Caenorhabditis elegans: one gene and its partners. The protein of the gene in region 1 purifies or fractionates together with the protein of each later gene. This does not show direct contact. Each region holds a gene or a part of one and is shown on either strand. Other genes may lie near its edges.

Region 1 (6,955 bases):
AGAGCATGTAACTACTGAAGAATACGTAAAGCAGCATGTGAGCTGCGCTGTTGTAATGTAACAAATTCCGATTTACATTCAATTTGCCCCCGCGTTGTTTTCTACATTCTCTAATTATCCATCCTTAAGAATCTCTTCATTTTTTCTTTTTGTGTTGCATATTGTGTTGCGACCTTCTTTTTCTTCTTTCTTCGACACGACAAATCGATGTTTGCTGTCAAAAAATGGAAGCACCTCACCTAACAATGCAGAGAGTCTGATTTAATCTGTGAAGTTTTGACAAGTTCGAATGAAGACATATTGTTGATCTTGGTAATCATTAATTTTTTGATCGGAGACATCATGTGTTTTGGACAGTCTCATAAGGAAAATATTTAACAAACTTTATGTTTTGTGAAACCTAGTCACGTCTGATAAGATTTGGTAAGTGTTTTCTTCAAAACAAAAAATTAGTATTTTACTAACGAAAAATTATCACAGTTCTCATTAAAAAACTTTTATGTAACATTTAAAATTTAAAGAATCGTCAGTGGAAATTTTTGTCTAACTATGTTTATAATAGTCCATAACCAAAACACTCTAAAATTTTTATATGTTCCCAAGTTTTAGGAAATATACCAATTTTCTAAATTTGGTTTTTTAAAAAGAAATTTCGAGCACTGATGCAGGTGTGAACCACTATAGTGTTTTATGTATTATGAATAATTTGAATTTAATTATACTACAAAATGGTCAAGAGAAAAGTTGAACTTTCCCCACTTTTTTAATGTAGAAAAAATTAATAGCTCAAAAGTAGCAAGTGAACAGTTTGCCTGATTAAACATCTGTTTTTATCAAAAATACAATTTAAAGTTTTAATTTAAATTTTAAAAAATATTTATTATTAAACAAAATTCTAAAAAGTTTTTTTTTCACAAAGCTAGTAAATGTTCAGAATTATTTTTTCCCTTCTTGTAAACTGGCAAATTTTTAATACTGAAATATACCGCAAAAACCTGAAACTCAGAAATGTTCTTAATGGAAACCTGAACAGCTTGCTAATTAAAATACATATTTTTGGCCAATTGATGTTGGCTATTAACCCTTACACTTTTTTCTAAGAAATAACAAGTGTTTTGTCCGTTGACAATTTTACAATAAATCCAACGAGGAAATACTAAAAAAAGTTCAATTTAACATTTAACCATTCAATGACGTTTTTTTTGTTTGAAACCTTAAGTGGATGTTGCTCTTGAGAAAGAAGAGCCCATCGAAATCTAGAATAAGCTCAAATTCTCATAAAAAACGAGACGTCTACTGCCTTGCACAAGATTATCGAATTGCTGGAGGGAAACCTCACAATACGACAAACCGAGATGTTGACAATTTTGTCATCCGAGCAAAAAAAAAAGAGGGAAAAATGCCATCAAATATTTGCCACTTGGCGCTCGACTCGTTAAACATTGTTTAATTTTTTTTCAAAAAATGTTCGAACTTTCATTGACCCATTTTCAAAACTTTAATTTTCTTAAGGAACAATATAAATTTAATTTTTCTACCAAGTGTGTAGAAATGTGATGCTGGGAGAAATCGAAAATTCAAATCATGTGTTGTTGTTCTTTCTTCTCATGCCGAGCAGCTTGCAATTTTCGGGCGAAAGCCCTCTCCACTTTTTCTCTAAAACTATTCGCTTTTTCTCTATATATGTAGCTCGTGCTCATGCATAATTTCGTCGTGTGTCGATTTTGTTTTCCGACGTTTTTGCACTCCGAGTTAAGTCACTAAGCTCCCAAGTTAATTTGTTTTTGATATAACCTTTTGAATAAAGACAATTTAAATTCTAAAAAAACTGAAAAAAAAACCGAAAAAAGAAACAACTAAGTTAGCAGTAAATTGGATTCTGTCATTTCAATTTACATTGTTGTTGGTTTAGTTGCATTCCAGTACGAAAAAAAAGGCGGCAAGACGCAATTTATTTCTAGGAGGTTTTGAATTTTGACCTGGGCCCGCCTCAATACCCGAAACCCGTTTTTCAAAGAGGTTTCCTTACAAGGTAGAAATATATCATTACACATCGTCCTTGGGCAATGCTATTCGTTTGTTTGCGGATAGAATTTTTTACTATTTTCAAGCAACTTAATTTCATTAGAAAAAAAAGTAAGTCAATTGATTTACAGATAATTTGAATGATTGACATTTTGTTCCTTGTTTAGCATTTTCTCACTAAAATTACTGAGCATTATTCAATAAAAAGTTTCTGCAGCACTCACTGAATGCACAATTCATCAAAGAGCAAACACAATAGCGTGCATTTATATCTTTTGTTTTTATCCATCTCAATGAATTCCTTTCCGTTTTGAAATTAAATCTCGCTGTCACATATTGCACATCCCACAACCCTAACTTCGTTTTATTGTTATATAACTTTCTCGTTTTCTCTTGCTCAAGCTCTTGTTCTAAACACTCGACTTTTCAATCGAACTGTTACTATTGTAGAAAATGGTTCAATATTTGCTGATAACGGCGAACGTCGGATCGCTGTTCGAGCCGGATGCTCGGTTGCACACTTCATGGATTAAAACTGTTGCGGATGTATGTTTAAATATTTTTGCAGTATTAAATTTAATAGTTCATAGCGAACTCACGCAATGTCTCATAGTCAGATTTTTGGTTCAGAATTACATAGTTTTTTACAAATGAATTAGTCCTATGTTTTGCGAATGTGATTTATTAATTCAAATACAAGTGTGAAAGCCAAAATTATTGAATTACATTTGAATTGGCTCCATCGATATTTTGGTTATTTAGTAACATTTTCGCATTGATGCTTCTTTTACTTGACCCTTACCGTCAGTACTTTCCTGATACGATTTTCTTAAAAATATGTTTCCAAGAAACATTGAAATTACTCAAGTAATAAATTTGATACAAGTAATTTTTAAAATTTTTAGCAAGTTGAAAGTGTTGACCCATCGTTCTTTGTCATACATCTTCAAGAAACCGGAGGAAAAAAATTTACTGAATGCTCACAGCAAGTCCCAATTATCATCAATCGTCTCTCCACAGCACTACCAAAATTTGATCTGCTCAGAGCATACGTTGACATCGATTATGAAGCTATTGAGTACACAGTAAGAATGACAATAAAATCGTTGTTTCTGAAAATTTATTCTTTGTTTCAGGCTCTTGGAGCATTGTGCTTTATAAAAAGATCCTTGTGGTCGAACGTTTCTCAATTCAACTTTCACACAAAGAAATACGAACAATTGACAAGCCCGAAGGAAGTAGTGACTCATGGGCTGGAAAACTACCCATACGTCGTCAAACACAAGTTTCCTAAAGATTTTTGGCCTTCTATCAAATGGGGACGTAAAGGATACATGCAAACAAGGTGGAAAATTGAAAACAAGTTAGTCCCAGTTTTCTTTTTTTTTTTTTAGTAAATTCCTTTTTCAGAGTTTTCGATTTTGTTAACGCACATCTCTTTCACGACGAATCTAACTTGGCCCTTATTCATGAGGTTTGTTTGAAAGAAAATGTTCAGAGCATATAAGGTGTTTTCAGAACCCACAACTATACAGCCAAAACCGGAAACGAGCACTTGACTTTGTGCTCGCCGAGCTTTCGTCAAAGGAAAACGGGTGCACGCCTCTGCTCTTTGTTTTTGGTGATCTCAATTTTAGGCTGGACTCTCGTTCTTTCTTAAACGTAATGGGTGACAAATTGCTAATTGGAAAACAAATAAAGATGTTTTCAGCGCTTAACTGAACGTACTGCTCAACATCCAGTCGCCGACCAAGAGCAGATGGGCTCCCTGGCCGATGGTCTTCAGGCTTCGGCTGCAAATCTTCAAGTAATCACCCACCCATCCGAAAATTTGAGGAGGACAGTTTCGGCTATTGAGTTCCGCAGAGAATCGGATAGCGATGATAGTCAAAAGTATGATTATTGAAAGTACAAACTTAAACAAGAACCAAAGAATTAAAATTTCAGCAGTTGTGTTCTACGGATCGAAAAAAAGAAATTTGACTATTTCAATCACAAAAAACTACTGGACGACTGGCGATCGTACAGAGATGACGACAAAGAAACCGAAAACTTTCAGAGCATGTTTGAGATGCATATAAATTTCCCTCCAACATACCCGTGGAGTGAAGATCCAGAAAATTCCGAAACTCTGATGAAGACTAGGGCACCCGCATGGTGTGATCGGGTTCTGATGAATAAAAATGCATACTCGTTGGTGGAAGAAGGAGAGCCTCAGTATAGGTCATTTGGAATGGAAACTTGTACTGGAGATCATAAGGTAATATTCTAATTTTTGGAATATTTTTATTAAAATACTATATTTAACAATGACATAATTTAGTGTAGTTTTATGTAGTGAGAGACAAATATCTTTTTTTAACAGATTTTTTGGTTTTTTTTTAACTCAGATTTTATAATTAAAAAAAATGCTTTGAAAAGGTTTTGAAAATCTTCACAAATGATTGAAACTTCTCAAATTAACTCATTTTTATTCAAGATTTGTCAGTTTGTCGTTGACTAGTTGACTAGAAAACGTTGACTGGAAGCTGTGAAAAAGAAATGGGAAAATTCATGTCAAATTTTTATTAAGAATTCGAGTGAATTTAATTTGATATTATATTCAGACTATTTTCAACAACTTGTTGTTGCTATAAAAATAATTCCTTAAAAAAACTTTATTTAAAAAATTTGAAATTTTTTTTTAAACAGTATATCAAAATAGCTTGAACAGCATTAAATAATACTATTTTTAAACTTTTTCAAAGAATTATTCAGAATTACAAAATAAAAGTTAACTTGTGTTCAAATTGAAAACAACTTTCCTGAATACTTGAATATCAAAAAAAAACATGTTTTAAATATAATTTTGAATAGCTTTATGATGATTACATTGGATTAATATGTTAAAAAAAAACTACACTAAGACCTCGTTTTAGTTTTTATTTTAAATAATCTTTTGAATTCTAAAACTCTTTAATCAACAAAAAAATTTGAATTATTATTTTTTCAGCCGGTCATGCTAACATTCAACATCTGACATGGTTTTCCATTTTCCCTCATTTTGGCCAGCCTCCATTTTTCTTTTTTTTTTTCTTCATCTCGAAGCTACGGATAAACATTTTCAAATTGGCTTGCGCGAACTCTGAGTTTCGAATACCTACTTTTTGTTCTCGTTGTTACTATCAATTTTCAAACTCTATCAAAATTCCATTTTTTCCCAGTTCGCTTTTTTCCGCTAGAAAATTTATTTTTTCATTGAATGATCAGAAACGTGTTTCTTTTCTTTTTTCTTTTTATTTTCATATAATGCACGGGGAACTCTTTAACTTTTTAAAACAATTTTTATCATAATCGATTTTTTGTTTCTTTTTCTCTCCATTTTCAGTGATGTATTGCTAGTCTTATACACTTTTTGCTTTGCCTGACACTTTCCATCAGTATCAATCAATTGTTAAAACGAATCATTTGATAAAATTGCGATCTTATTATAGATTTAATGAAAAGATGAACATTTACTCCAGAAAATTGATGAACAACCAATAAGATTTGTAGGTATTAAATGTATTGAAAAATGAAGCGGATTGAATTGGAAAATGAATCGTAAACATGTTTAAAGAAAGGATTATGGTTGAGTCTACAAGTTTTAATGATTTACACTACAAGAAAAAGTTGATTTATTAGAAAAATGTAAAGTTTTTGTTGCGTTATTCGGGTTGGTGAGGAAGCAGGCGGCGATATTTTTGGTTTCATTGCTGGATTGCCAATTGTGGGAGTGGAGCCTCGACAGTGAGCACGCCATCAGTCGAAAGAGTCGATGAGATTTGTTCTGGGTTGGTGCCTCTTGGAAGAAGGAATTCCTGGAAATTTGATTGTATAGATTAATGCAACTGAATGAAGAGTGACACCTTGGGGCCTCGCTCCATATTTTTAGCCCCAAGAGAACTGTTTGAATTCTAAAATAAAAATAAAAAACACCCACCTGGTTGTACTCTCTGAAAACGGTGCGTTGTGGGGTCTTCTCCTCGTGTTTGGCGTGGACAAGAAGACGGTTGTCAATAGTCTTGACGGTAACCTCCTCTGGCTTGTAGTTAGCTACGTCAAATCTGGAATTTCAGTTTTGTTAAATAAAAAATTCAGTTTTTCTCTTGACTGGTAAAAAATAAGTTTTATCAATTTTTCGGTTATGGTACAGATTTTTTTGACTCGAAATTTCAATTTTATGAGTTTGTTGAATTTAGAGCTAACCAAAATGAAATGTGATTGATATTCATGCTTGGAATAAGAGTAAAATTTTTATGTATAATTTAAAAAAATAACTTTGAAAATATTTTTTCAACTTTGGAAATTGATTTTTGAAAAAGTTAAGGCGATTTTTTTCCTCAATACTTTCATTCATACATTGTTTGGCTTTGAACTTGGACGAGTTATTTGAACATCACAAAAATTCAAAGATTTTAACTTTTGGAGATTTTTCACTACTTTGTCTGAAAGTTTTGAAAAATCGGAAACATTTAGATAATTTTCAGAATATTTATAAAATTTGAGTTCGTTATTTTGAATAGTTTGAGGCCGGTAAATACAGAATTAAAATTATATTTTTAATATTTTTCGAATAAAATTTGAATCTTTTAACTTAATCTAAGAGTTGAAAATGCCTCAAAAAAGTACCTGAGACGAAGAGTCTTTCCATCACTTTCATCCTTGATGAGTGGGCTCTTCAAGTTGTCCAAGTATGGATCGTAGGTTGGACGATGAGCCATCAAGTCGCTGGGTCCTGCAACAAAAAAAGTGAATAATATGAAAAACGCGAATGCGACGTAGCACAACAATAGAAAATAGAGCAAAACTCGTCGCCGAGGTTGCAGTGTTGTTGCCGAAATGTTGCTATGCGGCTGCCTACGCGACCTCTCAGGATGTGCTGAGTGCATAAAACTACTGTGTAATAATT
Region 2 (9,507 bases), on another chromosome or scaffold:
CACTACCACAATTTTTATAAAACTACAGTAACCTTACAACAAGCTTAATGTATTTTAATTTTAACGAAACTACAATAGCCCTACAGTATCCCTACTGCATCACTACAGTACCTTATATTTTGCTACTACAATTTAATTTTTAGTTAAATGCAAAAAAAAAATAGTTTTTTCCAAACCTACAGTAAGCCTACAGTAATCTTACAGTACCACTGCTGTACTTTAATTTTTCTAAAATAGTAGTACCCCTACAGTAGCACTACAATATCTTAATTTTTACAAAACTACAGTAACCCTGCAGTACCGCTGCTACAATTTAATTTTTAGTTAAATGCAAAAAAAATAGTTTTTTCCAAAACTACAGTAAGCCTACAGTAATCTTACAGTACCACTGCTGTACTTTAATTTTTCTAAAATAATAGTACCCCTACAGTAGCACTACAATATCTTAATTTTTACAAAACTACAGTAACCCTGCAGTACCGCTACTACAATTTAATTTTTAGTTAAATGCAACAAAAAAAATAGTTTTTTCCAAAACTACAGTAACCCTACAGTACCACAACAGTAGCCCGAAACACGTGACCAAATGCTTAAAACTCAATTTTTCCGAAACTACAGTAATCCTAGAAGTACACTACGAAATCACTACAGTACCTCGTCAGTACCACCAATCAATATTTTTTTAAATGCTCGAAACCTAATTTTTTCCAAAACTACAGTACCCAAACAGTGACCCTACAGTACTAGTACAGTATCCCAACATTATTTCCTACTAGCCTTTCCAAATGCTCTAAACTCAATTTTTAAAGTAACCCTACACTATCCCTAAAGTATCACTACAGTACCTTAATTTTTTTCCGAAACTACAGTAACCCTACAGTACCACTACAGTACCTTAATTTTCCCAAAACTACAGTACCCGTGCAGTAATCTTACAGTAACCCTACATTAGCCCAATAGTACCACTACGGTACCTTGATATTTCCAAAACTACAGTATCCCATCAGTATCTCTACAGTACCACTACAAAACCCTAATTTTTTCAAAACTATAGTAACCCTACAGTATCACTACAGTACCTTAAATTTCACAGATCTACAGTAACCCTACAGAAGCCGAAAAACTACACTTTATAGAAAATAAATGATTGCTTTATTAATTTAAAGAGAAAAGTTTATAGTGAAGACAATTCCTTGTGAAGTTTTTGGTAAAGATGGTAATGGCGGTGAGCATCTTTTCTCCATTTGTAGGTCACTGGGGCAAAGCTGAAAATACATATTGTGTTATTACGGGACCAAAAAATTCTGAAAATGCGTATCGCACAACATATTTGACGCGCAAAATATAACTATATATCTCGTAGCGAACACTACAGTAATCCTTTAAATGTCGATTTACGGGCTCGATTTTCAAAATGAATTTTTTTGTGATCGAGCCCGTAAATCGACACCAGCGCTACAGTAGTCATTGAGAGAATTACTGCCGTTTTGGTGTCAGAACGTCCCATGTCGGTTTGATCTTTTGATCTCCGAGAATTGCGGGACCGCATTTTTTGTAGATCAAGGGACATCCTGACACCACGTGAGTGTTTTGCTCCTTACTTCCATCTATCCGGTTGCCCAAAATGTGGCACTTTTTCTCTCAATGGACTGGTCTTCCAATCGAAAATTGGCACATCTTTAGTAACACCTCCAGGTGGTCCCGATACAGCAGTAAATTGCAGACTATTGATAAGTTTTGAGTTGGTGACCTTCACATCAATAGCTCCATGATCCCGGAAACCAAGCGACTTGAATGGGTACGTTCCATTGAGAGGATTCAAGTCAGAACGGCATGCAATCGCGTTTTCAGCGGAATATGGTGGATTACAGTCACACTTGGAAAGTGGATCCTTTGTATAGTTATTTGATCTCATAAGCGCAATCATTGAGCTCATATCAGTGACTGTATTGTGATCTCGTTTGAAGATAAGAGCACGTGGTGTCTTATCATAACTGTACCAGTCACCAAACTTTTCCACCATTTTGTCAGTGTCAGAGAATCGAATAATTTGTTTGTAGTATGGTTGATTGTAGCCTGGCCAATAGGTTTCACGGAATAAGTGGGCTGTTTTGTCGGAATGGACTATGTGGCCTCTGGAAATTTTGGATTTTTCAGGAAGTTTGGACCAAGGGTTGGCGGCAAACGATTTTTTTCCGGCAAATCGGCAAACTGCCGGATTTAAAATTTTCGGAAAATCGGCAAATCGGCAAGTTGCCGGAATTGAAATTCCCGGCAAATTGGCAAACCGGCAAACTGCCGGAATTGAAATTCCCGGCAAATTTTTCAATTTCTTTTTAATTCAAAATTTCAAAATTACAAATTGAAGGCAAATGGGAAAATGATTAAAAATCATAATAAAACTTTCAAAAAATTTGTTGAGAAAATTGTTTATTTTCAGTCAATAGGAGAATTTTTTTTTGTTTTTGGAAATTGTCGATTAAAAAAAAATAATTTTTTATTGATTGAAACAGGGGTGGGCGGCAAACGATGTTTTCCGGCAAATTGGCAAACCGGCAAAATGCCGATCTGCCGAAAAATTTCAGCAAATAAAGGTTTTGCACGTTTTTTTTAATGTCAGAATTTTATTTTAATCGGCAAATTTGTACGCATCTTATGAAAATTATATGAAAAAATCTAAAGAAAACGGGAAAAAATTTCAAAAAGGCACAGTTTTTAGTGTTTCCGTTTTATAAAAATCCCTCTAAAAACTTCCCGCAAATTAATGTTCGGCAAACGTTTTCAGTTTTGGCAAATTGCCGGTTTGCCGGAAATTTTGATTTTAGGCAAATTGCCGATTTGCCGGAAATTTTGATTTTTGGCAAATTGCCGATTTGCCGGAAATTTTCATTTTTGGCAAATTGCCGATTTGCCGGAAATTTTCATTTTTGGCAAATTGCCGATTTGCTAATTTGCCGACTTGCCGAAATTGTAGACAGAAAAATTTGCACTCCTAGGTACAACCATTTCAGACTAGGCAGGCGCAGGCACAGAAAGCTGCTGTGGCATTTTTTTTAAATTTAGATCCCCACGAATTCGTGAATAAGATTTTTTGCGGCCTACAGGTAAAGCCTAGTCTCTGTAGGCACACAGGTAGGCATGCCTACAAATAACTATAAAACTCACGGCATTTGCTCAACAACATGAATAATTCCAGTCTCTGGCTGAACTTCTTTTCCTCTATGGAACTGTTTATAGTCAACAACCACCCATTCATTATTATAAGTTCCACTATTATGTCTCCCGAATGCTTCAGCCCATTGTAGCCCAGATGAAGCCGTTCGGTGAGCAATTTCAGCACGAATCCAAGTGAGAACAGTATTTGGAGTGATAAGGTCGAGCGATTTTTCATTGTAATTTCCAATTGTTGTTTCAAGGATTGCAAGTTTGGCAGAGGTCAGAACAAAATCATCAGTAGATGTGATGGAAGCTGGAAATTTGAACTTTTTGAGGGATTTTGCTTCTAAAAATTGAAATAATCCTAAGCCTCCGATTAGGCCTAAGCCTAAGCCTAAGCCTAAGTCTAAGCCTAACGCTTTGATCGGCCAACGGGAACCCTTTGAAAAATTAAAAAAAAAACGCTGTAAACACAAGCCTAAAAGCTGACGCTCGCCACTGACGCCAAGCCTAAGCCTAAGCTTCAGCCTAAGCCTAAGCCTAAACTTGAGCCTAAGCCTAGGCCTATGCCTTAGCCTAAGCCTAAGCCTAAGCCTATGCCTAAGCCTAAGCCTAAGCCTAAATCCAATCAAAAACCTAACCATAAGCCTAAGCCTATGCCTTAGCCTAAGCCTAAGCCTAAGCCTAAGCCTAAATCCAAGCCAAAGCCTAAGCCTAAGTCAAGTTCAGAAAACCCCAAAAATAACGGAGAAAAATAAATATCCAACTTATAAAACCACCAATTTTGAATTACCTTCAAAACGAAAATCGCGACCAATCAGCGATTCGCTCCGCCCACTCTTCAACCAATCAGAGCAGAGCAACTCGCTCCGTTTTCTTTTGCCACTTTTTTTCAGAAAAATGATCTACCTGGATAACTGGAAAACGAGTAAATCTGTCCTGGATCTCCAGTTTTGAATGAGTATTTCTTGTTAATTCGAAGCATTGTACCGTATGAAGACCACGTGACATGAGAGAAGAGAATATCCTCGTTTTTCGGGAGAAGCTGAAAAAAATTACTTTATAAAACTAAAACCTAGAGAAATTAAACCTTAACAAGCGCTGAGCAATGTCCTGGGCCTGAGAAGACTTTCTTCGGATTTTCTGGTTTTTTAAATTTCATAGCGAGATCCTCGAGGTCGCCGGCGATTTGAATCATGCTGAAAAACAGTCAGACGTTGAAAAATGAACCACCCACAGAGCGGCTTTTACTACGTGGCCTAGAAAAATCAAAAACTCGGCCAATGATTTATCTGGGATTTTTGACGTGGGATGTTTCTGAAACTTGACGAGAATGTTCTCGAAAGGGGGTTCTATAGTTCCACCGTGGCGATTTTTGCGAAAATGTTCCGTATCCATGTTATGAAGGTGGCCGAGTTTTCTTATTTTACGGCCACGTAGTAAAAACCGCTCTGCGCACCGAAGGCGTAATCTAGACATGGTGAATCGATAAAGCTTTTTTTTGAAATGACAGTAATCTTTAAAGGTGCACAGATTTTTGCATTTGAAAAAAAAATTGTCGTGTCGAGACCTGGAAAAAAGAGCTTACAAAATCGGATGCACAGCAATCTGCTTGAAATCAATCTCTGCTCCCAGCTGGTTTTCATATCCATGAATCAAACCAAAAAGCTGATTAACAGTCAAATTCACTTGTTGCCAGTACTCATCTTCCGGATTTTCCCTGATCTCCTGCTCCATCCACTTCAAATTGTCAACCATGAACTCACCGAGCTCATCGCAAAAATGCTTCGCTCCGTCACAGTAGCCGTTGACGGTGTTGATGATGTGAAGATCGATGAGGTGACGGGTGGCGCGACCTTAATAATTGCTTAAATAATTTTTTGAAATTTCCGTTATTGCAATTGCGCTCTAATGAGATTTTGGCTAGCTTACCAATAGTTAATAAACCCTGCCATCATAAAAAAATGTTTATTTTATTTCTCTAATATAATTCTCTTTACGTAAATTTTAAATTTTCCGTCGAGTTTAAACTAGTCTTATTGTTAAGCTTAAATAAACCTATTAAAGAGATTTCAGTGCAAACGACACTCCAGTATCCCGCATGCGCGCCATGTTTCTCGTAAATCTACACATCATTTTTTTATTTATTTCATTTATTTTTGCTTAATTTTATGGATTTTAAAGCGTATTTTAACTTATTTTGTTCGGTTTTTTGCCAGAATATGTAAAAAATTAAGCTAAATTCATTTTAAAAAAAGCTAAAAATTGTAAAATTTGAAAAAAAACTTACCCTCAGCAAATCCTGCAGCATATCCTTGCAAATAATGTGGAATTTTCGGGCTGATCACATCGACTTCGAGGAAAGCCCATCTGAATTGCACGAAATTACAACAATTTTTTGGTTTTAAGCCCAATTTTACCCAGTTTGGTTCACTTCATCATGGAAATAAGCGGTGGCAAGACGTTTTGCACACAGCTCTTCGTCAGTTTTTCGGCCTTCTTTGAAATAATGAAGGTCGCCTTCAGGCTTCTGGCAAACTGTGTACTGAAATATTGATTTTTTTTTTAAATTTTTAAAGGTGGAGTAACACAATGACCGAATATCATGATAAAAAATTTTTAAAATTTTTCTAGATTTTATATGATTTTTTGAAAATTGAAAAAAATCTCAGTTTTTGCCTAATTCCTATTCAAATTACCGCCAATTGGATTTGTTCGATGGAGCGCGCTTGCACGATTTTAAATTTAATTATTTTATTTTATTTTTTGTTACTTATTTTCCACCGATTTTCAATGTTTTCGGTGTATTTTTGCTTGGATTTTGAAGAAAAAGGCAAAATAAATGCAAAATTTCGATTAAAAAGCACGCTTACAGGCGTAAAAATGAAAAAGTAACGCTTTTAAACGATTTCACACCTGAATTAATTAATTTCACTGATTTACGCCTGTAAGCGTGCTTTTTAATCGAAAATTTGCATTTATTTTGACTTTTTCTTCAAAATTCAAGCAAAAATACACACCGAAAACATTAAAAATCGGTGGAAAATAAGTAACAAAAAATAAAATAAATAAATTTAAAATCGTGCAAGCGCGCTCCATCGAACAAATCCAATTGGCGGTAATTCGAATAGGAATTAGGTGAAAACTGGTTTTTTTTTAATTTTCAAAAAATCATATAAAATTTAGAAAATTTTTTTGAATTTTTTTATCATGATATTCGGTTATTGTGACCCCATAGGCGTGTTTTAAAGCAATTTCCCCCCACTGGCGCTACTCCACCTAAAAAAATTTCTTTAATTCTTACCGTTCTCTCCTGTCTCGCCTCACAACCAATCGCCACCGCAGCAGCCAAAAATATAAAAATCCAATTCATTCTCCAGCAGCACCACACACACGATATGCTCGCCAACGCAAATTCACTATTCCGGCTGGGTTCGGATCCGACGTTTGAGAGAAGATTTTCGGGACCTTTGCAGTTGCAGCAGGTACTGAAGCAGTTGTTCGGGAGACGGGGCATGGCACCACAGACATGTCAGGTGCTCCGTGACCCTTTGACCTCGTGAAAAAGATAAATATTTTCGCGTTTTCGTGGAGATCAAACCAATTGTTAGGTGCTTTAGAGTTTGATCGTCTTGTATTATTACAGGAACCCAAAATTCCGAAAATGCGCACTGCACAACATATTTGACGCGCAAAATATTTTTTACTGTATCTAGATATTTTGCGCGTCAAATATGTTGCGTGGTACGCATTTTCAGAATTTAGTCGTTCCGTAATAAAAGTGGAATTGCAAAAAAGTTCCAAAAAATAAAAAAATGAAATTTTTTATCATATTTCAGCTTAAAATCCGCCAGGGCCATTATCATTGGAGCGCGCCATGTCGCGTCGATTTACGAGAGATTTTGTTTGCAAATTTCAGTTTTTCAACAAGTTTTCTATATTTTTCGCGTTTTTTTAAGTGAAAATGTGAAATAATTTTATGATTTTTAAAATTTGAAAAAAAAAATTTTTCAACAAAAAAATCAAAGAAACTTGCAAATTTTAGTTTCTTTGATTTTTTTTTTTTGAAATATAATTTATTTCGTGTAAAGTGAACGAAACTTACTGATTTTTCAATTTTTAAAATAATAAAATACCCAAATTTACACGAAAAAACACATTTTAATTTAAAAAAACCGAAGAAAATGAAGAAAACTGGTTTAAAAAACCGAATTTGGCTGCAAAAAAACCCCTCGTAAATCGACATGGCATGGCGCGCTCCAATGAGAATTTTTCTGGCGCGAGTTTGAAAATTGTTTCGCGCTTTCAAGCTGAAATATAAGATTTTTGAAATTTTTTGAATTTTTTTAAAACAAAATATGGGAAATTTGGAGTAATTTGAAAATTTAAAAAATCAAAAAAATGATTTTTTTATTAAAAAAAAAAGTTTTTTTCAGGATTTCCAATGGCGTGCCGGCTGGGGTGTTCTCAAGGCCAATATGCTTTTCGTGTACAATAAAACCGAAGAGGAGACGTCGGCTCCTCCATTTTTACTACTAATTATTGAAGACTGTTTTATCGAATTATGTGATGAGAATAAGATTGGCAAGGATTTCACTTTTGAAATCAAATTCAAATCGTGCGTTTTTTCCGGGTCTCAACACGAAAAATTAATACTAAATTCCAAAAAAAAACTGAATTTTTATCGGTTTTATCGAAAATCGATGAAAAATCGATTGAAAATTCCTAAAATTATCCGATTTTTTTCCAGAACTGCTCGAAGCTTCATCTTCGCCGCCGACTCGTTCAAATCGCTGGGACGTTGGGTTTCGCTGCTCACAATCTCCCCGATCGACTATATACAGCTCTCGAAACAAAGTTTTCATGAGCAAATCGAGCAAACTCAGAAGAAAGCGATGAGGGATTGATTTTTATACATTTTGCACATTTTCACTGTGATATTTTGACTTATTGATTATAAATCATACATTTTTAACGTTTTTTGCTTTGTTTTGCAGCTGGAATTTCCCTGAATTTATCGTTTTTTTCGCAAAAAATCGCGAAATTTCATTAAAAATTTCCAAACGATGCTCCGATATTCCGATGTCGCGCCTTGTTTACCGTAAACTTACACGAGATTATTATTTATTTTTCCGTTCCTGGAGAGAATTTCATCAGAAAAAACGTTTAAAAAGCAGAAAATCTTTGATTTTTTCCAATTTTTCTTAAATATCTGATTATAGGAAACTTGTAAGCTGATATTAATCATATTAATTCCAAGTTTTCATATATTTTAACACGAATTTCCGAATAAAAGTGTATTTTCGGGTTTTACTTTAATTTTCGCGTCCGCAACGACATTATCGCTTCAAAAACTGCATTTTTATCGAATAAAATACTTATATTTTAATTTAAAACTCGAATTTCACAATTTATCGATTTTTTTTCGCAGCCGCAGTGACTCATTATGTACTTACCCCCCCCCCCCCTCGGGTATCCGAAAATAAGCCGTTTTCTATGCATTTTTCCAAACAAAACACTTATTTTTCAGTGAAATGCCGGCATACCACTCAAAATTCGACACTGAACTCAAAGTTTTGCCATTGGGCAACACAAATATGGGAAAACTTCCGATTCGAACCAATTTCAAGGGTCCAGCGCCTCGTAAGTCTTCAAAAATTGATTGAAAAAACCTATATTATATATTAAAATTATTGCAGAAACCAATCAGGATGACATCATCGACGAAGCGCTCACCTACTTCAAGCCGAACATCTTTTTCCGCGAATTTGAGGTTGATTTTCGAGATTTTTCCCTATTAAAATTGAGAAATTTTCAGATCAAAGGTCCCGCGGACCGTACAATGATCTATCTCATCTTCTACATCACCGAGTGCCTCAGAAAATTGCAAAAAGTACGGATTTTGCACGAAAAAAACCTACTTTTTAGATTGAAAAATAAGAAAAAAAGACCCAAACATACCGAATTTCAATGGATATTTTGAACATTCCTACCGAAAACAGATTTTTTTAAGTAGAAAATTTCAAATTCGAAACATTTTCGATTTTCTCTGAAAAAATCCCAAATTCTTTCAATTTTCTCTGAAAAATCCACAAATTTTAAGGTTTTCTCTGAAAAAATCGAATTTTTTTGGTTTTTCCCTGAAAAAAATCTAAAAATTGTTTAATATTCCCTGAAAATTCCAAAATTTTTCTGGTTTTCCCTGAAAAAATCCGAAAATTTTTCGATTTTCACTGAAAAAATCCGAAATTTTTCCGATTTTCTTCGGAGAAATCCAACTTTTTTTTTTCTCAAAATTTTGGAAATTATAAAAAAAAATTCTAGTTACAAAATTCGGTCTTTTCGGGCTAT
Region 3 (5,461 bases), 7.3 Mb from region 1:
ACCAAAAAATTGACATGACTTTTATCCATTTAAATATGCCTGATAGGAACAATTCTCAACAAGAATTATTGAAATCTGAATTTCTTGCTGGAAATTTCGGAAATAATTGTTTCTCAGTAGAAAATGTTTCCTTTCCATTCTATCCAACACCAATAAATCAACAAACAGTGAAAGAAGCAATGCAATGAAATAAAATGACTATGAAGAAACAATTGCGTGTGGCGCGTTTACAGTGCCTTCGGAAAGATACTTAGAAGAGAGTGCGGGAACATATTGCAAGAATTGAGGGGAATTGAAAGAATCAGGAAGCAAATCTCATTAAGCATACGCCCAGATAATGCATAATGGTGGCTTGGGTTCCAGGCAGTTATAGGAAAAGTAGGCAAAGCTCTTGAAGAGAGAAGTGAAAAAAATTATCTGTGCAATTCTCAATGGTAATTGCAAAAAATAAAAATGTCATTAATAAGGCAGGTTTGTAAAAAACAATGTTACTACTTGCAAAATATTTCCACCGATGCAGAATTGAAATGTTGTCATTTTTAGTATCGACACCATGAAAGTTGAATTTTGCTAACATCTCAAATTATGTCAATTTTTCGTTATCCCAATCTTTCATCTTTATAATTTATTTTGGTCCCCTAGTTATCTAAAATTGATTTATGAATAACTGAATAACCCTAGATTGACATGAAAACGCATACTAAACTGATAGAAATTGCATTATTTTTTTTTTGAAACTTTTACACTTCCCGGTTCATCCGTTTGTTGGTGGTATAATTTCTGTTTAAAAAAACACTTTAAAAGTTTTTTTCGAATTTTTATGGAGTGAATATCTTTTAAAAGTAGTGCAAACTTTGTTTAAATGGACTCCAGCAACAAAAAGTAAAAGGCGAATGGACACTGAAGTAAGTTAATTATCGTTTTAGTTTCGGTTTTTGAAATGGCTTCTTTCAGAAAAAAAAAACGCACTCATATCCTAAAAAGTGTTTTTCATAATAAACAAAAATTATAGTTTCTTCTGTTTTTTTAAATATAAATGTCACTCTAAAATTTTAACAAATTGTTCAGGCAGTTAAAGGAGGACTAACGGTTCGGACGATTTTGAACGTATCGACCCAAAATGGGCCCAAATGAACGAATTTTGTAATGAAATTGCTCAAAAAATTTTCAAAAATGTTTTATGGCGGTTCAAAATTTCGAAAAAATGACACTGATTTTAGCCAAAATCTCGAATTTTGCCCATTTTTCCGTGTCACATCTGTCCGAAATTGCTTTTATCATCCTTTATTGCAAAAATCATCAAAATTGGTTAGCTATCGGCTTTAAATGTACCTTAATCAAGGAAATTAAATGAGATAAACTACCAATATATGCAATAAAGGGTGATAATTCCAAAAAAGCAATTTCGGACAGATGTGACACGGAAAAATGGGCAAAATTAGAGATTTTAGCTAAAATCAGCGTCATTTTTTCGAAATTTTGAACCGCCATAAAAAATTTATGAAAATTGTTTGAGCAGTTTCATTACGAAATTCGTTCATTTGGGCCCATTTTTGGCTTATACGTTCAAAATCGTCCGAACCGTTAGTCCTCCTTTAAACATAATTTCGAAATCAAATATTATTTTTGAAAAACATGAAAATGCCAATCAAAATCTCATATTGTTTCGTTTGGTGTACGGTAACTTTTATTTTTGTTGTTTCAATTTAGCAGCCTTGTTTTAATCAAGAAAATAACTCATGAAAACGTGAAATTAGTTATTCGCACTTCTCGTGCGAGATTAAACAAGTGACATTTTTGCAAATAAAAAATTATTTTCGAGATTAGATTTTCGGCCAGAAAAGTTTTACGGCGGTATAAAACATAATTTGATAGTGCTGCAGCCGCACATATTGTGAAGAAAATAACAAAAAAAAAACAAAATAATTGCCAGTGAAATATCAATTATAATTGACTTTCATTTGACTTTATGATCTGGAACATCTTGTTATCGTCATTGAGCTGCAAGCTACTCCTGAACAACTTTCGTAGTTCTGAAATTGCAGGATAAATTTTTTTTCAGTGAACATACATAGCAGACTGAGCTGTTGGCACGAAAACCGGCAACTGTCGATTTTTTTCCTACCGCTTGTTCAAAAACTGTGAAAAAAACAAAACTTTAAAAACAGAATGGCGCCAGTTAGAATAAGCATACAAGTGCAAAAATTACTATTCAAAAAATGAAAGGTTGTGTTATTTTGAGAGTAGTCAAGTGGTGAATGAATACTTCAATTAAATTTTGAAATTATACGCAAATCATGCGACGGCACTGACCAATCAGCGTTACGTAAAGGAGACGACATACTTCGGTGATTGGTTGGCGGTTTCCTGAATAACACGTGTTTCAAAATTACATTGACATATTTACGGTTTGTCCAAATTCGTAAAATTGGCACTCTTGATCATATTTCTTTGCCTGTTTTTTTTGGCATTTTTCAGAGCGAGCTTCAAAAAAAACTATTCAAATTTTGCCACGCTTTTAATATTATTCACTTTTTCATTTAAATTTTAGATCAATTATAAATGGTTATTATTGAGTGATAACAATATACTTTTTCTAAACACGAATAAGATTTTTTTTTCGAAAATAGGTACCTTTATATGTTTCAAAAGTGTTGAATCACACGTGTTGCCAATCTGAAAATGGGATGGTATCTTCTTATTGACACAAGGTGAATTCAAAAATTTTCCTAACGTCACTGATAACACAACCGACCATTGAGTTTTATTACCTCGATTTTCACTTGCTCGCGTTTTTCACAGGACACGCAGGTTTGACTAATAATGCTAGCTAGAGCTTCTCTTCATTCAAATGGTGTGGATATGCATACCGCTGAGTATGCTGATTATAAAAAGGTGGGTCTTGAAATTGATTCAATTTTCTAATAAATTGTACAGCTAATGAGAAAATTGGAGTATTATAAAACTATGTTTAGGCTGAAGTCACATCTCATCATGCTCGAGACATAGTGCATATTAACGCAGGCGGCACAAGGTTAGTTGGGAATTGAGAACATGAGATCTGAGAATTTAACGAAGGCTTCAGATTTACTACACTTTACGACACTTTGGCACAGTCAAAGTCGTCATATTTCCTCAACTTTATCCGCATCGACCGCACCAGTGGAAAAATTGTGCTTCTTCAACAGAGAACTATTGTGGGTGACAATCTAGAAATAAATATACATACTAATGAGGATGCAGAATTTTTTAATTGGAGACTATTAGGTTATCTAGAAGCTAGCTGAAAGCCTAAATCCTACTGAAAAAACTTCCAACAATTTTTACTTGTGCTTTTTTCAGAATTATTTTTCTGAATTTCAAGAGAATGCTTTTAATCCTCATAGCTCTCTCTAAAAAAATTTCAATACAAATTTCAGCGTGATGAGTCAGGAGCAATCTTCGTGAACCGGGACGGGCGTCTGTTTGCATTCGTTCTGCAATTTATGAGAGACGGAAAGAACACTGTCCTGCCAAAAGATAAAGACGTGTTAGCACAGCTCAAAGTAGGTGTTTCATGTTTAATTTCATCGCCTTCTTAACCATGCGTTGTCATTGATAAGCACAGTTGCTTGTTTACTAGAGGTACACCGAGGTGTGCCTTGTGTTTTATGGGTATTTATGTGTTGGCGATTGTGTGTCACGAATATTGGTATACCTAATCAATTGGCATGGGTAGAGAAAATTAAGTTATACAATTTAGTCATGTGCAGTTACTATTTTATGATATTGTTAAGGAAAAACAATATGTTTTGAAAAATTGTTTTTTCCAGGAAATATCATTCAAAAATTAATTCAAAGTGCAATATGGAAAAAAAACCAACAAATACAAGATTAACACTAATGTCAACTATGTCAACAATCATAAAAAATAGAAACTATGAGATTTATGCAAAAAATGTGTAGCATACATAAGTGTGTATATTAAATGAATCTTGAAACACCAAATCAATTTATTGAAAACAATCACAACTTTTAATTTGAAAATAACTCCAATGATGTATGAATTGACAATACATATAAACTTCCCTTATTTTTTCCAGCGAGAAGCAGACTTCTTTGGCATGGAGGTATTCAAGTACCTAATTCAAGAGACACTTGTTGACATTGAAAAGGAACAACGTGCCAACACCAATGATATTGTGGATATTCGCAATTCGGTGAACCAAATTGCGAACAACACGTACTACAATAATGGAGGACGCATTTGAAGTTTACTTCCTCTTTCTGAATAACTTTGTTAATGACCATGAAATAACGGAAATAAAGTGCAAAATTGTGTGTACTTCTGAACGAACTTGTTGAATTTGGTGTTCGTTGAAAATTGACTTGGGGGATGGAGTAATCATATTCAAATTATTTTTAGTGATCCTTGTGAGAACATTTGAAACCAAAAAGATGTGCTTAAAATTCTGAACACTTTTAAATTAAGAAAAATCGGTAGAATCGAGTTATCGAAAATCAAAACGTCTTACTAAACTTCAATTACATTAGCCATAAAAAACTATAGAAAATATCGATTTTCAAAAACTAAATTATATTCAATCTTTTACAGATTTCTGAAAACCAAGTCAAAACTGATAAAAGATACAACTCGGAAAATTGCTCTAAATCAGCAATGTGGAGAAAAATATTTCGTTTAATATTTTTGATTGGGGGGGGGGACTTTATTGGTTGTCCTGAATCTCTCTCGAAAGTTAGTTTCCTCGCATAAATTAGTCTTGCGCTCTTAATTAGCATTGTTTCTGAGCAATTTTTTGTGTCTTGAAGCCTGCGTCGCTGCAGTTGCAACTGAAAACTAATACAGATGTTTTCGTGTACTGTTTATTTTTTGCCTGCAGTTAAAATAGATCTATTTACTTGTTTTGTGCAGACTTAAAAAAGTAACAATGTTCTGTTCAGTGTGCTCAATAGGTAAACAACTTTTTTTGAAAGTTTGTTGAAAGATACTTAAAAAATTCGAGCTCCATGTGAACATGCGCTATGAAACGTTATCTTGCCATGAATTAATCGTTATTATTATTAAAAATTCTTTTGATTTTTTTAAACTTTTGAAAACTATTAAAAATACATAAACATTTGCAAATATTTTGCAATAAAACTCTTTAAGACTTAAGTTTCTACGACTGCAGTTAAAACTATTTACAACGAAATATTTACAAGATGTGACCCGGAACCCGGAACATTTTGCCACGTTTAATATCAAAGCACGATCATTGAGCACCATGTTGACCAGCATGGTACGTGTAATATTTTTACACGCTTCGTTGGAGACAAATTACATGATGAAGTTTATTTATTTTGATAATCAACCAGTCGGATAATTTCGAAAATATACGATTTTGATCTAAACCCAAATTTTTCAGAATGTGCGCAAGTTCAGTTTCAGAGGTTCCGTTCTACTTCCCTGTACATTTTTTTT
Region 4 (9,326 bases), on another chromosome or scaffold:
TGTTGATCTACAAAAAAACGCGGGAGAAGAGACACAGAGTTCTCAACTGATTTCGCATGGTTAAGAAAAAATCCCGCATTTCTTGTAGATCAAACTGTAATGGGACAGCCTGACACCACGTATGCACCTAAAATTTTTCAGATAGACTTTCCAAAGCTTATCGAAGATGCTTCTAGACAACGGAAACATCGCGCTCCTTATGTAGATGAACCGGTTTTGGCGGCAAAACCGAAATATGCAGAACACAAGTATCCGTTGAAACAGTGTTATACAGAGACTAGTGGTAAGTGGACTACAAACTATAAACTATAAACTACAAACTACAAACTAGAATTTCCAACATAAGAAATAAAAGTTTGAGGTTTTTAAAAGTGACTACAAACTACAAACTATAAAATTTTACTAGCCTCAACCAAATACATTAACTAAATATCTAGTTTTCCACGTGGTAGGAATTTCAAATTGAGACTACAAACTACAAACTACAAATTTCGTTTTTTTTTTGGAAAAAAAACTAATGCTCAATAAGTTATTAATAGTTCTCTGTTACGGTGACTACAAACTACGAAATTAACCAAGCCTCAACCAAGATGAAAAACGTTGGTTGAGGCCCAGAAACTAGAAACTACAAAGTACGGTTTTTTGTCGGAAAAATCGAAATTTCGGGTTTTTAGTCAGTTTTGGGATACATACAATCAATTTTTTAGTCTGAAACTTTCGGAAAATTAAAAAAAAATACTGGAAAAATCGTAGTTTGTAGTCTGTGAGCCTCTACCAAGAATAACTCAAACTTTGTAGTTTAGGAAAAAATTCCAATTGTTTTCAATTCTAGATCTTGAAAGACTACAAACTACAAAACTAACCAAGCCTGAACCAAGCTGAAAAACGTTGGTGGAGGCCCCAGAAACTACAAACTACAATTTTTTTTTGTATTCGTTTTTGACACAAAATCTTGTAGCATTATATTTAAAGCTAAAAACTAAAATTTCGAATTTTTAGGTCTTCAAAGACTACAAACTACAAAAAACTATTCCAGGCTTCATGTGTTGCAACCCAAAACTCGAAAAAGTGATGTCAGAAACCGCTCTGAAAATGAAAAGCTCAAAATCTTGCAATCTTCAAAAAATGTCTTCAATGCTTCAAGCGGCCAGTGAAAAAGCATTCGGTACGGATTTCGAAGCAATCGCTGGAACCGGAGATTTCGCGTCGAAAATCCATTTCTATTCGGATTTCGTGTGTAAAATGGAGAGGGAAGGGAGGACAATGCTCGTTTATGCAACACCAAGTCGACATAACTATGCAATGCCTTATCAATTGTAATTTGATATGGGAAATTAAGAAAATGAGAAATAAAATAAAAATTTTACAGTAAAGAAAGAGATTGAATTGAAAAAATTGTTTAAAAAAATAATTTAAGACAGGATTTCAAACAACGGCAAAATAAAGAAATAAATTATTTCAAACTAATTGACATGATCTGAATTGATTCTCTTGGTCGTCCACTTCTTTCGAATGTCGATACTTGATTGATCCGTTGAACAACACTCATTCCAGCTGTTACCTGCAATTTTTTGAGCATTAGGAGGAAATCTGCGTGGATATCTATATTGAAAATGATTTTATGAAGGAAAATGTGCAAAATGATACCTTTTAGTGTGCTTTTCCAAAAAAAAATTCTTTGGTTTTTTTTTTTGGTTTTATACTATGGTTCTATACTGTGCATTAATATAGGTTTTCCAATATTTTAGAGAAAAAAGCTCTAAAGTTTTGGCATATTTATACTTTTCTTTAATAAAAAATTGTACTTTTTCTCATCTACAAATTAAACAAATTTTAATCAAAAAAAATTTTTTTTTTGTTATTTTTTTGAACAAGTTTTTTTTTGATTTTTCGATATTCCGGAAAATGGAAAGTTGTGACTTTTTCGAATTTTTTGTGAAAGTGCATATCGAGTTTAATAAATTGTTTTTTTTTAATTTTTAATGGGATTTTTTTTTCAAAAAATCACTTTTTTCGAAACACAATTTTTACAAAATTAATAATGTTTTGAAAAACTTAAAAATCTGCAAGTTTTCAAAATTTCGTATTTATTTTTTCATTAAAAAACCTATTTTTTTATTATGGAAAATTTAAAAATTCGTATGTAATTTATATATTTTTCTTACAACATTTTTCTTACGATATTTTTCCCAGAAAACATTTTTTCCTCTTCCTTTTCTGTTCAAAAATAGGTTTTTTTTTGGTTTTTTGGTCGAATTAAAAAGAAAGGAAAGCAAAATAGCTTTTAATGAAATTTAGAATAATTTAATTAATTTTTAAAATTTTCATCAATTTGAAATACGGTCTACTGAAAAAAAACTGAAATTTTAGACTTTTTTTTTCAAAAAACACTTTTCTCTTCCTTTTCTTGTTTTTTAACAGCGTTTTCAGGTAACATTTTTAAAATTTCTCTATTTTTACCTCTCCAAAAAGAGTATTCTTTCCATCCAACCAATCAGCCGGGCATACAGTAATAAAAAACTGTGATCCATTCGTATTTCCACCACCAGCATTTGCCATTGAAACTTTGAAAGGTTTATCGTGTCGAAGTCTGGGATGAAATTCATCTTCAAAATCTTCACCCCAAATTGATTCTCCACCAGTTCCTTTTCCAGATGGATCACCAGTTTGAATCATAAATGATTTGATGACTCGATGGAATGTTAGCCCATTATAATATCCACGACGTGAGTGGGTACAGAAGTTTTCAACGGTTTTTGGACATTCATCACCGAAAAGACGAATTGTGATATCACCGAATGATGTATGGATTATTGCTTCTTTATTCAGTACTTTCTCACCTCCTTCCGTCTGTAAAATATTAAATAGTTTTTTTGTATAAATGGATAAAAATTCACGTTTATATATGACTACTATTTTTAAATGAAGTATATAAATATAGTTATTATCGAAAAAACACGATCGCAAATTTTTCTCATAATTAATTTTTGATCTACCTTGTTGACTAGGATCCTCCCACCAAAACGAAAATACAACAGCAACAAGATTAGGGGCGGAGTTAAGTTCCAAAGGTAGATCAAAAAAAGCATATTTTTCGCCGACGCCGACAGCCGAAACGGGGCCGATTTTTCGGCTGTCGGCTGACGCCGACAGCCGACAGCCGCACAGCCCTGTTGACAACTTGCTGGAATTGAATAATTTCCGGCAAACCGGCAAACCGGCAACTTGCTGGAATTAAAAAATTCCGGCAAATTCGCAATTCGCTGGAATTGAAAAAATTCCGGCAAATTCGCAATTCGCTGGAATTGAAAAAATTCCGGCAAATCGGTAACTTGCTGGAATTGGAAAATTCCGGCAAAGCTGCAAACCGGCAATTCGCCGAAAATGAAAAATTCCGGCAAATCGGTGACTTGCTGGAATTGATAAATTCCGACAAATCGGTGACTTGCTGGAATTGATAAATTCCGGCAGACCGCCAAATTGCCGGAATTGAAATTTCCGGCAAATCGGTAAACCGGCAACTTGCTGGAATTGAAGAATTCCGGCAAATCGGCAACTTGCTGAAATTGAAAAATTTCCGGAAAATTGGTAAATTGCTGGAATTGAAAACTTCCGGCAAACCGGCAACTACCTGGAACTGGAAAATTCCGGCAAATCTGCAAACCGGCAATTCGCCGAAAATGAAATATTCCGGCAAATCGGCAAATGCCGCCCACGCCAAATATATATGCTACTTTAAAAAGCATTATACGTTTTATGGCAGGATTACACTACAAACTACATAATTTTTCAATTTTAAAATACACGTGGCAAATACTTTTGTAGTTTGTAGTCACTAAAGCCTCAACCAATTTCAAAACTACATCAGAGGCCTAGAAATTTGTGTAGTTTATAGTGCCTGAGCCTCAACCAACAAAACCATACATCCAACGCTGTCAGTAGATCCTCCTTCTTTGGCCTCTCATTAAACACATCTCTTCCGGAAACTGACGGATTTCCTTCATCGTCTTCAACGTTATACGGCTCAGTGTTCGTGAATAGGTAGAATCGATTTTTACGCAGAGCACAGCAGACCTGAAATTACGGAGAATTTTGTAGTTTGTAGTTTGTAATTTCAGCCTCAACCATGTATTTTGGGGGGCTTAACTTTATTTTTTCAAAGTTTTTTTCCCAAAATTGTGCAAAAAAAAATGATATATTGAGATTGAAACCAAAAATTGAGTGTAGTTTGTAGTCTAAACTGTTTCACAGGCATAAATTCGTTTTTTACTGCAAAAAAATAAATAATTTCTGAAAAATTTTATCGAAATTAGAAAAAACTGCATTTCTTGATATGAAAATCGTTAAAAAATTCATTAAAATCTTGGTTGAGGCTGAGCGACTACAAACTACAAAATTGCTTAGCCTCAACCAAAAAACATAGTTCATTTTGAAGTTGGTAGAGGCTAAATGACTTGTAGTTTGTAGTCTTAGCCTCAACCAAGATTTTTCTTAGCCAAAAAAAATGTCATTTTTCCTATTTTTCGACAATTTTTTCAAAATTCAAAAACATTTTTTCCAGGAAAAATTGAACATTTAACGAATTTTTCAAATGAAAATGTCACAAAATTTGAGTAAAACTTATTTTTTTCAACATTTTCCCAAATTGTTCTAAAGAGAGTTGGGATTTGCAAAAATCAGTGTAAGTGTGTAGGTTGTAGTCTAGTTTTTTTTTGATTTTCAGAAAAAATGTTCTCGAAAATAGGAAAACACTTTTTTAATATGAATTTTCGTTAAAACTTCATTTAAAAAATCTTGGTTGAGGCTAAGCGACTACAAACTACAAAAACTGATAGCCTCAACCAAAAACAGGGTGCATTGTTGGTAGAGGCTAAACGACTTGTAGTTTGTAGTCTTAGCCTCAACCAAGATTTTTCTTTGCCAAAAAATGACATTTTTCCAATTTTCGATAATTATTTTAAAGTTAAAAATACTTTTTTTCAGGAAAAATAGAACTTTAAATGATTTTTCGATGAAAATTAATTTTTTTAAATCGATAGCTCCCCGTACCATCAACGGATCCGGATCGGTTTTCCGGTTAAGCGTCGGATTATCAGCGGCCGCCGTTTCCAGCGTGATCGCAGCACCCTGAAGCTTCTGCCGAATGTCTGGAAGTGCATTACAGAGTGAAACAGCCACAAATCGAATAGCTTCATCCCTTCCAATGGTTCTGGAAACCTCATTTGTCACCAAATTGAACACTTTCACACCAATTGGTGTCGGGTAGAGAAGGAAATTTCCAGATTGATCAAAACAGATTTTCGTGTATTTTAACGAGTTCTTCTTGTCTTTATCCATTTCTTTTTCCGATGCAAGACGCCGACTCCATTCCATATGTTGTAGGCCGTAATTCTTATTTTCTTTCGCTTCGCAATGATATTTCTGTGTTGTTTCATCGATCAGTTGCGCCAATTTTCCGGTTTTTACATTGAAAATTCGAATTTTTCGATCCTCGGCAAACGTGGCTAGCTTCAAGCCGGACGGGTCAAAAGTCGCACATACTGGAATCGTTTTCGCCTTTACAAAATCGTAGAGATCCGTTTCTAGCTTGTATTCCCAGGTGAGTTTCGTCTCGGGAAACTGAAAATCTCCACGTTCCCCGTTCCAGCATTCGATCATTCCCGACTCGTCGATTGACACAATTATGTCCAAACTTTGACTGTACTGAAATATGAGAGAGTTTTGTAGTTTGTAGTGGCTTAATAGGGATCTTTTGAAATTTTTGCAAGAAAAATTGATTAAAAACCATCATTTTCAGAGCTTTTTCGGTCAAAATTGAACGTTTCCACGTGGATTTTGTTTTTGGTTGAGGCTGGGGGAAAGTTGTAGTTTGTAGTGTGAGCCCCAGCTAAGAATTGTATTTTTGTCAGAAATCCACGTGGATTGCGTGAAATTTTGGATTTTTGCCGGTTTTTTTATATAAAAATGTGAAGAATAACACGAAAAATATCATTTCTTTCGAATTTTCCGTTCAAAATTAACAATTTTGAATTTGGTGAGGCTATAACATTGTGTAGTTTGTAGTCTCTGAGCCTCAACCAATTTGATATTCAAAAATCACTTCAAAAATTCAATTTTCTTTGATTTTTACTTGGATTTTCCGTGAAAAAGTGTTTATAAGAAAAAAAAAATCAGAAATTTTGAACATTTTCTCGGTTTTTTCCAGGAAAAATCAATATTTCCACAAGGATTTTGTGTTGGTTGAGGCTGTGGAAAAGTTGTAGTTTGTAGTGTGAGCCTCAACCAAGCGTCATTATCAGAAATCCAAGTTTTTTTTTTGGGATTTTTCAATGTGGAAAATTCAGAAATCACAGAAAAAATAAGTAATTTCGCGACTTTACAGTGAAAATTGGAATGTTTTCAGAATTGGTTGAGGCTGGGGGAATGTTGTAGTTTGTAGTGTGAACCTCAACCAACCTCAATTATCTTGACTGGCGTCGAATGAAGCTTGTCCTTGATACAAATCGGAGCGGCCGTTGCTTTGCCATCGACAACAATGATTTTTCCAGAATCCGCGGCTCCAATAGCCAAATGTGCGATCGGATCGTTGCTTTGATGTACCCAATTCGCAGTTTTCGGCGGGAAATCCAGCTTTATCATGTTAATCATGTCGAAATTCTCGATATCGAACACTTTTACGGATTTATCCGCTTCACAGACGGTCGCTAGCAGTGTACCGTCTATATTTGCACAAATATGTGAGAATTCACTCAAATGACAACGGAAATGCTTGACAAACTCGACTCCTTCGGAATGCTTCTTTTTCCAGAATTTCAGGTGTCCATCGACGCTTGCAGTGATTATAAAATCGGTTTTTGTCGCGATAACGTGAGAAATTGTGTCCCGATGCATAAATGATTTCTCGTATTGGGAAGAAGACGGGATTGAACGCAAAAATTCTGATTCATGCTTGAGTTGTGGCTTTTTTGGGGCATCTGGAGCATTTTCTGGTGGATTTTCGACTCGTTTTTTTTTCGGTGATGGTTCCTTGAAGACTGGCTCCATTTTTCAAAGCTGGAAATTGAAAAAATTTTGATTTAAATTGCTAGAAACTGGAAAATTCGATTCTAAATTTGTGCAATCGCGGAAATTCGAATGGTGTAGATTTACGGTAAACAACGCGCAACGCGGGATAGTGGAGTGTCGTAGTTTTGTTTTTTGTTTTTTCCTGAATTTTTCCTGAATTTTCCCTGAAAACTTATAATTTTACATGATTTTTCCTTTTTAAATTGTTTAAATAAGTGTTGTTTCTAATATTTATTAATTATAAACGATTCTTTAATGCTAAATTGCTCCATTTTTAGCCAATTGAAGCCCATCTTCGTTCAAAAAAAAAAAAAATTACAGATGGACCCGCCACGACCACCAGGCACTCGTCTAGTGCTCAATACAGCTGGACATCTGATCTCCGTCCCCGAATCAATGTTCGATCAGCCGAGCACCTCATTCTGGGGAAATGGACCAACTTCAGTGCCTGTAGATGATGAATGTGATCGGGAAGAACCAGCGACACATCAAGAAAGCTCAGAAAGTGATTCAGATTACAGTGACGGAGAAGAAGCAACTCCTGAGCAATGGAAAGAGCTCGATAAGGAACTGGACAAAGTTGTAGCTTTATTGAAAGAATATGAAGCGGCAAAAGTGACGGAAACTGATCCAGTTAAAAGATATAGAAATCTCTGTCAACTTTCGACCACATTGAAAACTATAAGTGTAAAAGACGGTGGATGGAAGATTCTACATAAAGAGCATACGGAAAAAGAGAAATTGGCTCTTGATAGAGCGAATTTCGACATTTTAAAATTCGTTTATGCTAGACATGAAAAAATTTTGGACGATGGAAAGTCATTTATTACACGTTTTGAGCTGATAGATGCAAAAATTGCGGATTTGATTTCTCGATTTATTCAAATGCACGGCGAGCATTCATTTCGAGCAGGTATAGTTTGTAGTGTGACGGCTTAAAAATCAAATTTTAGAAAAAAAAACCATCCCGAAATCGAGAAAAAGTGAAATTTCCGATAATTTTTGAGCTTTGTGAATGGTTGAGGCTAAAAGATTCTTGTAGTTTGTAGTCTCTTAGCCTCAACCAAAAACGATTAAAAATTTAGATTTTTTTAGTGAGGCTAGAGAATTCCTGTAGTTTGTAGTGTGAGCCTCTACCGAAAAATAGTGAAAATTTAGGATTTTGGTTGAGGCTAAAGGATGTTTGTAGTTTGTAGTCTGAGCCTCAACCAAAAATAGTGAAAATTCAAAATTTTGGTTGAGGCTAAAGGAGTTTTGTAGTTTGTAGCCTCTGAGCCTCTACCAAAAATAGTGAACTTTTTGGTGAGGCTAACTTATTTTTGTAGTTTGTAGCCAAAACTAATTTTTCTCTCAAAAATTCAATGTTTCGCTATTTTTTTCTACGAAAAAATCATTTTTTCAAATTAGAAAATTTAGAATTTTTGGTGAGGCTGAAAAGATGTTTGTAGTTTGTAGTCTAAGACTCAACGAAAAATAATGAAAGATTAGAATTTTGGTTGAGGCTAACAGATTCGTGTAGTTTGTAGTCTCTGAGCCTCTACCAAAAATAGAAAATTTTTTTGGTGAGGCTAGCTGATTGTTGTAGTTTGTAGTCTGAGCCTCAACGAAAAATAATGAAAATTAAGACATTTTGAGTGAGGCTAACTTATTTTTGTAGTTTGTAGTATCCAAAACTATTTTTTTCTCTTAAAAAGTTTAATTTTTTTTTTTTCTCAAAAATTCAAAATTTGGTTTTTTTTTCGAAAAAAATTGCTTTTAAATTAGCAAATGAACCAAAAATCAAATTTATGTAGTGTGTAGTGTGCGCCTCCACCAAAAAGTGCCAATTTAGAATTTTTGGTGAGGCTGAAAAGATGTTTGTAGTTTGTAGCCACCCACAAAACCCTCATTTTTTCAAGGAAGCCTCTCTGTCGCCGTTGGTTTTGACGAATTTCCACCTGAATTAACATGGAGAACCACTCCAACCAATAAGATTATAATGCTTCGGCCAGTCGTCATTGATGGCGTTGCAGTGTTGAATGCCACAATGGACGATGACACGTGGATGCCCTTCATGGAAATCACCAAAAACTGCAGAGACTGGATTTATGAGCCTGAGTTGGTGGGTGTTTGTCACTGGGCTTTTGGGCTGCTTTTCTCTCAAAAATACAATTTCCAGAATCTTCCAGTCAAACCATTAACCGATATAATTCTTCTATTCCTGATTCGAGGTCACAAAACCACTGTATATCTTCCGAAATACTATCAGGAATTTCTGTCAG

Evidence for each region.
Region 2: the proteins of ipp-5 (region 1) and Y37D8A.2 fractionate together in Caenorhabditis elegans (co-fractionation; one large-scale study listed by BioGRID). This does not show direct contact.
Region 3: the proteins of ipp-5 (region 1) and F46G10.1 fractionate together in Caenorhabditis elegans (co-fractionation; one large-scale study listed by BioGRID). This does not show direct contact.
Region 4: the proteins of ipp-5 (region 1) and cyn-15 fractionate together in Caenorhabditis elegans (co-fractionation; one large-scale study listed by BioGRID). This does not show direct contact.

Annotation. Positions count from the first base shown.
Region 1 is NC_003284.9:6,028,994-6,035,948, forward strand, and holds ipp-5 (putative type I inositol 1,4,5-trisphosphate 5-phosphatase), read left to right. Parts: upstream 1-2,475; 5' UTR 2,476-2,478; coding exon 2,479-2,571; intron 2,572-2,930; coding exon 2,931-3,110; intron 3,111-3,161; coding exon 3,162-3,388; intron 3,389-3,435; coding exon 3,436-3,499; intron 3,500-3,543; coding exon 3,544-3,687; intron 3,688-3,736; coding exon 3,737-3,918; intron 3,919-3,972; coding exon 3,973-4,285; intron 4,286-5,017; coding exon 5,018-5,044; 3' UTR 5,045-5,490; downstream 5,491-6,955. Other genes in the region: hsp-25 (SHSP domain-containing protein), read right to left, coding at 5,754-5,864, 5,987-6,110, 6,676-6,781.
Region 2 is NC_003281.10:12,817,280-12,826,786, reverse strand, and holds Y37D8A.2 (Putative phospholipase B-like 1), read right to left. Parts: upstream 6,647-9,507; 5' UTR 6,642-6,646; coding exon of another isoform or gene 6,555-6,641; 5' UTR 6,530-6,554; coding exon 6,461-6,529; intron 5,702-6,460; coding exon 5,577-5,701; intron 5,527-5,576; coding exon 5,447-5,526; intron 5,174-5,446; exon of another isoform or gene 5,023-5,173; intron 5,013-5,022; coding exon 4,745-5,012; intron 4,356-4,744; coding exon 4,247-4,355; intron 4,202-4,246; coding exon 4,066-4,201; intron 3,470-4,065; coding exon 3,166-3,469; intron 2,136-3,165; coding exon 1,602-2,135; intron 1,266-1,601; coding exon 1,175-1,265; 3' UTR 1,136-1,174; downstream 1-1,135. Other genes in the region: Y37D8A.25 (PH domain-containing protein), read left to right, coding at 6,555-6,641, 7,593-7,774, 7,907-8,063; arx-5 (putative actin-related protein 2/3 complex subunit 3), read left to right, coding at 8,691-8,799, 8,856-8,929, 8,975-9,049. UniProt on the Caenorhabditis elegans protein: Putative phospholipase.
Region 3 is NC_003284.9:13,309,089-13,314,549, reverse strand, and holds F46G10.1 (BTB domain-containing protein), read left to right. Parts: upstream 1-2,794; 5' UTR 2,795-2,823; coding exon 2,824-2,895; intron 2,896-2,975; coding exon 2,976-3,034; intron 3,035-3,078; exon of another isoform or gene 3,079-3,085; coding exon 3,086-3,197; intron 3,198-3,419; coding exon 3,420-3,545; intron 3,546-4,082; coding exon 4,083-4,250; 3' UTR 4,251-4,323; downstream 4,324-5,461.
Region 4 is NC_003279.8:13,564,993-13,574,318, forward strand, and holds cyn-15 (peptidylprolyl isomerase), read right to left. Parts: upstream 7,056-9,326; 5' UTR 7,045-7,055; coding exon 6,457-7,044; intron 5,704-6,456; coding exon 5,050-5,703; intron 4,075-5,049; coding exon 3,925-4,074; intron 2,851-3,924; coding exon 2,461-2,850; intron 1,562-2,460; coding exon 1,454-1,561; 3' UTR 1,321-1,453; downstream 1-1,320. Other genes in the region: grd-15 (Ground-like domain-containing protein), read left to right, coding at 142-283, 1,037-1,320; nyn-2 (Zc3h12a-like Ribonuclease NYN domain-containing protein), read left to right, coding at 7,387-7,978, 8,964-9,166, 9,224-9,326.